Linked DNA regions of Mytilus edulis. The protein of the gene in region 1 binds, or shares a complex with, the protein of each later gene. Links are inferred from orthologs where the notes say so. Each region holds a gene or a part of one and is shown on either strand. Other genes may lie near its edges.

Region 1 (3,760 bases):
ATTTGATTTCATCAAAAATTGAATTCTTGGGGTTCTTTGATATGCTGAATCTAACCATGTATTTAGATTTTGGATATTGGACCATAATAGGTAATGTCAATTTAAAATTTAAAGTTTTTAAGTTCAAGTTCTTAGACCACATTCATTATGTGTCAGAAACCTGTGTTGTGTCAACTGTTTTAATCACAATCCAAATTCAGAGCTGTATCAAGCTTGAATGTTGTGTCCATACTTGCCCCAATGTCCAGGGTTCAAACTCTGCGGTCGTATAAAGCTGCGCCCTGTGGAGGATCTGGTTTAAAAGAGTTGTGTCCCTTGGAAACCCTTAAATTATACGGAAAGTTGCATTGTCAATGATTGTTAGTGCTCTCATGTGTACAATTCTTCCCAGAATTTTATAAAACTTAATTCACAATCATAAAGAAATCACATAAAATCTAATTGACCTAAAATTTGTTGATATTGCTTAAATTATATTGAAACTTACCGGTATTGTTACATGGGTATTAGTATTAGATATAATGGCAGTTTTAATGTCGCCATCACTTCGCCATTTGAAAAAGCTAGGAAAGCATATTTTAAAATAAAGAAAACAATAGGATTAGATAACCCTTGTAAACTTCTGGGAAAACTTTTTGATTCCTTAGTAGCCCCTATTCTCCTTTATTGTAGCGAAATCTGGGGGATTATTTCGACATTTAAAGACAGTGATGCCTATGAAAAGTTGTGAATAAATAGGATTTTTGTACTCGAACCTCATGAACTTCAAGTTCAGTATACATTTGTAATTCAGACATGTGAGATATAGGTATCATTGGGATACTTCAGTATTGGACTTTTATTGTAAATCAATAATAATTCCAGTAAGAAAGCATTTCCTCTCTGCAATTAGAGATATACATTGTATAAAGAAGATGTACACCCTGTGTATCAAAAGTCAGATCTGGCAACTTTTATCTTCTTCTTTTTCTGCAATAAACATGATAATAACCCCTCTTTTTTCCTTTAGTGTTAATTTAATCATTGTTAATTAAATAGCTGGTCAGTGTTCATAAAACTTATCATTTGATTCTATTGATTAATAAGCACATGTTCTTATCTTTTATATCCGTGAGACATGTGCATGTGTTTACCATTTACAAAACTAATCATCAAACATCAAACATATAAACAATAAACATGATAAAATGTCAATGCTATTTTTCTGATCACAAATATTATTGATTTAGGTGATTAGATTATCAAGAGAAAACATTAACAGGGGCGGATCCAGGATTTAATGTTAGGGGGGGCGCAAATTTTTTGTTTGCTGAGCGGAACGAGGCGAAAAAAAATTTTGAGGTAAAATTATTGAAATATTCTTCTAAAGGGGGTGCAATGTAGATATCACGAACTATTGTGTGGTAAAATTAGCGAGAAATTTACGTTTCAAGCTGAAACCGACGAAATCCTCCTCTGAAAACAATCTATAATTACCATACTTAACAAGAAATCTTTGAGCTTCTATTCATTGAGACTATCCCCATATATTTCCTCAAAACGGGACAGAAAACAATAAGGATCGATAGAGACATTCCTCAATCCGGAGTACACAAGCTGACCCTCCACATAAAAGTATGTCAATAGTTGCTGGGAAAACTGGTGTTGCATTTAATGAAGTACTAGAAATAGATGTGCATGCGTCCTAGTTAATCCTCTGGACCAAATATATAGTGTCTGACTGACAGATGGACGGACAGAGGTAAAACAATATGTCCCTGTTCCGCGAAGAACCTCCGAGTTATGAGGGCAAGGTGTCTTACAAGTTGGAGAAATCCACAACAATCTCCAAACACCCCTCACTCAGGCATGCACTAAGGAATTCATATTGTATATATGAGTTTATAAAGCTACAGTAATAAAGTTGCAGCCCCAAAAACAGAAGCTGAAGATCATGCAAACCTTTTATTTTGATTCTGTGTTCCAATGCAAACCAATCTACAATCAAGACACCATCACTTGTAAAATTATCTATATAGCAATATCGGGTAATATCTTAACTAAACCCGGCTTAAAAGACGTGCTGCAGGTAGTTGTGATATAAAGAAATACAGGTACACCACAAAAAAGTTAGTTGGAACTTTGATTATCAAAGAAATTGATAATAAAAAGCGCAAATACAATGAAAAAATTAACTGCTAAACATCTATTATGTTTGACACCAAACGCAGCTCCGCGTTTGACACCTTCCTTTGGAGTATACAATATTTTTAGAACTTAAATAAAATGTAGGTCAGTTGATTAGTAATCACATTAATTCTGTTAAACTGACTGTTATATATACAATATAATATAATGAATGTTAAAAAAGATGGAATGGTATCTTCTGATACTTAAATAAGTTGAAGACAACCCATGCTTTGCAAATTTTTTTTGGGAGGGGGGGGGGGGGGGGGGGCGCACGCCCGCCACGCCACCGCCTAAATCCGCCCCTGATTAAGTAATATTTAATTACCTTTTAAGTTCTTTCTGTGAGAGCCCTGACTGTTGTTACAGTATTTTACACATAAATAAATGTATCTGCCCTGCAGATTATTCGCTTATCTTATTCTATAATAATACTTCTTTTTTTTGGAAGATAAGTTTTGTTTTAAAAGAAAATTACATGAATATACATACCAGAACATAACAGACAATAGGTTTACAATCACAAAGGTCATGAAGGTCACCCATTCAGAATCAACTTTGCACTTTTTTCATAAATATGTGGATTTCCTTCCAAAATTTTAAATAAATATTTGAGCCGGCAAAATTAAAACAATGATAGAAAGACGTTGCCTAGATTGGCTAGAAACTGAAAAAGGATTGGATGTTCTAGAATGACTATAATTTAATATCATTCCATACATGGACACTGCATGTTATTTTAGTATTATTTTTATTGACTGGGTAACAGATGGTATACAAACATGTCTAAGTTTTAAAAAATACACCTGAAAAACTGATATTTTGTAATTTGAGATCAGTTGAATATTAAATAGTACATGTATAACCAAAGTTTCATTCATTTAAAATATAATGTTTGTTATCTAATTTATATTTTCAGTTGTGGACATAAAAATTAGATTAGCTGGAATTCCTGGAAGAAATATTGGTTGTATAATTCGGATTATGCCTTAATTTTACAAGAATAAACTTGAGAAAGGCAGAAAATTTGCAGGTTTGTTTTACATTGAAATGTCTTCATACATGTATATTGGTATTCTATTGCAAAATCATAAATGAACATATAATTTCATACAGAACATTACTTGTTATTCGTTTGAAATGATGTATTATATGATCATTTTATTGCACTAATGCAAAAAGCTTCAAATTAGCAATGTGTCATCTTGGACAAAAATATGTTTCAGAAGACAATGAAAGAGTTAATGTTTATCAAGCTTTGGTATATACAATAAAAGGGTTACTGCACAAAAATTGGACAAGTATCCTTTGTAGCATATGATATGAATAGCACACCAAGGTGTTTCAATAAAAATCTATTGATGATAATATTTCCCCTTATGCATGCAATAACCCTTAGTACATTCCTGATATTACTTTGAAATTTACTGATTATTTTCAAGGTTAAGAATAATATATACAAATATGTAAAATTATTTACACGAGTGGCAAAGCACATTTTTCCATGCAGTGTGTTAAGTGACAGTGTTGTATTTAAATCTATTTTTATAGAAGAATTAATCAATAATTATATTTTGATTTTAAAATTGTATAA
Region 2 (3,760 bases), about 110 Mb from region 1:
TAAAGAATCAGAGAAATACTCCAGCTTAAAATACATATCTGGTGAATATATGGCAAAAAGAATACATCCAATTCTTACAACAAATACATCAAATTGTAGAGACATAATCAAATTACCCATTAGGACCAGATTTGCAACTGGCAATTACATCTTACAGACAAATAGAGCAAAATTTAATCAAAATGATGTATCTGCCGTCTGCAGAGTTTGCGGTAAAGAGGATGAAACCATTTCACATTTTCTGATTTCATGTACACCTTTAGAAACTGAAAGAATGTCTCTTTTGAAATCTCTCCGAGAACAATATATCAAAGTGCTAAAACTACTAAACATTAATATGCATGATATAGATGTAGACTTCATCCATGTTATTATCAATCCATATCATCTAGTAAATTATTGTGGTACCTCTCTAACCAGTGAACTTTGTGCTTTTATTAACATCCATATAGAGCCTGCTTGTAGAACATTAATATATAAGCTTCATTTACACAGATACAAACTTTTAAATTTAGATCAGAAAAGATTTAGAAAAAATAATTTAAGATCATAGCCCTATTTAATGAAAAAAAAAGTTGTGTGTGGACTGCAAATCTCATATTTTCTATTAAGGACTCATTTTTAGATTTTATAGATGAGAACGGGTGTGATTTGTGTGTAAAGATATACCGACATTTGTAAATAGTGTACATCGTTATATATATTCTATTGGTGATTGGATATTGTAATTCACTACTGTATGTCATTATATTGGTGAAGGGATATATTGACTTCATACTGAAGGTGTGCCTATAATATTGGCAGAAAATATACAGATACAGTGAAACTACCGTGTGATAAGGGTGCTCCGTTGTGGAGGAATCTACGAAGAAAAGAAAGAAGGTCCGACATAACAGGCTATGTTTTAGGTATTTCAAAATTAAACTCTAAATTTTAAACTAAATGTTACATGACGATTTAAATGTATAAGTCTTAAATAAAAATAAAAATCATAGAGTTGACACAAAATCATGCAGAGTTTATAATTTTTAACAGAGTTGATCTTTCTCTTAGCTCATTATAGATTCGAAATTATATGTATGGTACCAGTCAATTATTTGGATTTGGCGGGAACCAGGAAGAAAAATAAACAAAACAGACACAAGAAACAAACACTTGCTATTTATTGTAAGTCACTGCTGGGAACAGTATATCTAATCATGGAAGTATTATATTGACATACTTCCATGATCTAATATATATGTTCCTGGTCACTGTTACATTTGATTTAATCAAGGATTTGTATAATAAGACCTTCTTACTATAGAGGGGGGATAGGACCTTTATCGGGACTCCGGGATCGCGTGTTTTTAAGCTCGGGATTTCGGGATTGACCCTTTCGGGATCCGGGAATTCTTTTTTTCGGATTTCGGGACGTCGGGATTTACTTTAAATTTAAATTCGGTAACTCGGGATTTTGTTTTTTTAAGTCCGGGATTTCGGGATCAGGACCCCTCCTATCCCCCCTCACTATACAAATGCTTGATTTAATACTAATAGATTCACTTTTGCAAATAGATTCATTCGTGTTCTGTATGTATCCCCTGAGATTACTGTGTTATAGGAGGGTGGTAAAGGGGGCCCTGAACACTGAAACATGTGAAATAAAAATCGCAAAAACGTTGCACGGAAAATAAAAAACGGAAAAACGAAGCACGAGAAATAAGATCGTAAATATTAAAGTCATAAGAAACGAGTGACTGGTGAAAAATAATGTTTATCCAATTCTTGAACCAGTGCATGTATATATTGTGACAAATCTGGACTGATAATTGTTATTATTTAACCTATTATTTATTGTATATTACATATATCTATTTGAATATTGCCAGGTGGTCAACTTCTCGGGAGTGCACAAATACTGATAAATGCATTGACTTTCATACTCATGATTCACAGGCGCTTGGGTCTATGATACAGATATTATTATTTTTTTTTTTTATTAAAATATTCAATTTTCTATATTTATAATACATATCTATCACTTTTGTGCATGTCTCACCTAGTTTCGAGTGATTTAAACGACCCAGTGAAAAAACCCAATTTTACTATCCATACTAAGAAACAAAAAGGCAACTAACTCGACGCCATTTTTCTGCTATCTATAAATAAATAGATTGACCTACCTGGATTCCCCGACGATTTCTCTAGGAAAGCGTGCCTTCCTTGCCGTCAGATCGCACACATCGTTGATATTTATCAAATTGGTATTGTTCGTATCATTTTTAGTCCATCTCCAGCATATAATAAAAAGATTAACTTTTTTGACTAATTTCAAATTTACGTGCCCGGAAGTTGACTGTTTTTCCCGAACTTTTGTTAAAGGGAAGTAATATTTTCCCGGACTTTTTCGGAACATCTCTCCAAGTACGTATGAAAATAATAAAGTGATACGATGATTTCCGAACTTTTACCAAAAAGGCGCAACTTTCCAATTACCGGAAAAGAATCTGTCATCATATTCAGTCTGAAATGATGACAATTCAACCAAAAGAAGATACTCATAAAAACATTGATTCATGATAATTTATAAATATACAAATACTCACACAAAATTGACTTATGAGTGGAATTAAAAAAAATTAAGCCATTGACCATTTGATCTGATATTTTTATTTATTTGGTGAAAAAGGGGGGGTGGGGGGGGGGCAAGGAAATTTACTAATATTTTCTTTCCACGAAAATGTTATTGACTTTGTTTTAATTATTACAAAACATGGGTCATGTTAACTGAAGTAAAAAAAAAAGGGGGGGAGGGGACAATATTTCCAAATTTTGCAGTTCCCCTTTCTAACATAAAATCAAAACTGTGATTTTTGAAAATTAAAAGATTATGACCACTAACAATCAAATTAGGGGCTTGATCTTGTTCGATATTCATCATATCTGTTTGTTAACATATAGTATTAGTTCGGAAGTCATCGTATCACTTTGTTATTTTCATACGTACTTAGAGAGATATTCCGAAAAAGTCCGGGAAAATATTACTTCCCTTTAACAAAAGTTCGGGAAAAACAGTTAACTTCCCGGCACGTAAATTTGAAATTAGTCAAAAAAGTTAAAATCTTTTTATTATATGCTGGAGATGGACTAAAAATGTTACGAACAATACCAATTTGATAAATTTCAACGATGTGTGCGATCTGACGGCAAGGAAGGCACGCTTTCCTAGAGAAATTGTTGGGGAATCCAGGTAGGTCAATCTATTTATTTATAGATAGCAGAAAAATGGCGTCGAGTTAGTTGCCTTTTTGTTTCTTAGTATGGATAGTAAAATTGGGTATTTTCACTGGGTCGTTTAAATCACTCGAAACTAGGTGAGACATGCACAAAAGTGATAGATATGTGTTATAAATATAGAAAATTGAATATTTTAATAAAAAAAATAAAAAAAAAAATATCTGTATCATAGACCCAAGCGCCTGTGTCATGATTTAAACTATTTGTACTTTGCAATCGATAAGGGTCAGTTTTATATGTATATCTTGGTAATGTATACCTATGAAATACTTTGATTATTCCGTCATATAGCCTCACCGGACACAATTACGAACGATTTTTGAACTTAGATTAATATTTTTTATGTAACGTGACGGTACCCAAATTGCACCTATTTTGACAGTTTTTTCATGTACATGTTTTTTATGATAAAGACAAAAATGTCCATTCTGTGTTCATTTTGTAGCCGTATCCTTCTTTATTATAAAGGTACACCAATTTG

Evidence for each region.
Region 2: the proteins of non-structural maintenance of chromosomes element 3 homolog (region 1) and non-structural maintenance of chromosomes element 1 homolog are in contact, whole or in part, in a crystal structure (PDB 7DG2), measured with the Xenopus laevis proteins. The link is inferred for Mytilus edulis from reciprocal best matches to the Homo sapiens genes NSMCE3 and NSMCE1. Residues at the interface, in XP_018121157.1 of Xenopus laevis: Gly57, Glu58, Val60, Gln61, Tyr62, Leu64, Ile65, Lys66, Gln68, Lys69, Val82, Thr100, Gln102, Gln103, Val104, Phe105, Gly106, Phe107, Asn123, Leu125, Gln126, Arg127, Val128, Gly130, Asp131, Gly132, Met133, Arg134, Asp136, Glu137; in NP_001083134.1 of Xenopus laevis: Ile5, Glu7, Gln10, Arg11, Leu13, Gln14, Ala15, Met17, Ser18, His19, Leu30, His33, Leu37, His38, Leu54, His57, Leu58, Pro60, Leu61, Phe62, Met63, Val84, Asn86, Ile88, Thr89, Met91, Ala92, Ser93, Asp94, Gln149.

The regions. Positions count from the first base shown.
Region 1 is NC_092344.1:12,733,786-12,737,545, forward strand, and holds the start of non-structural maintenance of chromosomes element 3 homolog, read right to left. Parts: upstream 2,728-3,760; 5' UTR 2,713-2,727; coding exon 2,659-2,712; intron 1-2,658. UniProt on the Homo sapiens protein: Component of the SMC5-SMC6 complex, a complex involved in repair of DNA double-strand breaks by homologous recombination. The complex may promote sister chromatid homologous recombination by recruiting the SMC1-SMC3 cohesin complex to double-strand breaks.
Region 2 is NC_092344.1:117,754,601-117,758,360, reverse strand, and holds the start of non-structural maintenance of chromosomes element 1 homolog, read left to right. Parts: upstream 1-1,025; 5' UTR 1,026-1,167; intron 1,168-3,760. UniProt on the Homo sapiens protein: RING-type zinc finger-containing E3 ubiquitin ligase that assembles with melanoma antigen protein (MAGE) to catalyze the direct transfer of ubiquitin from E2 ubiquitin-conjugating enzyme to a specific substrate.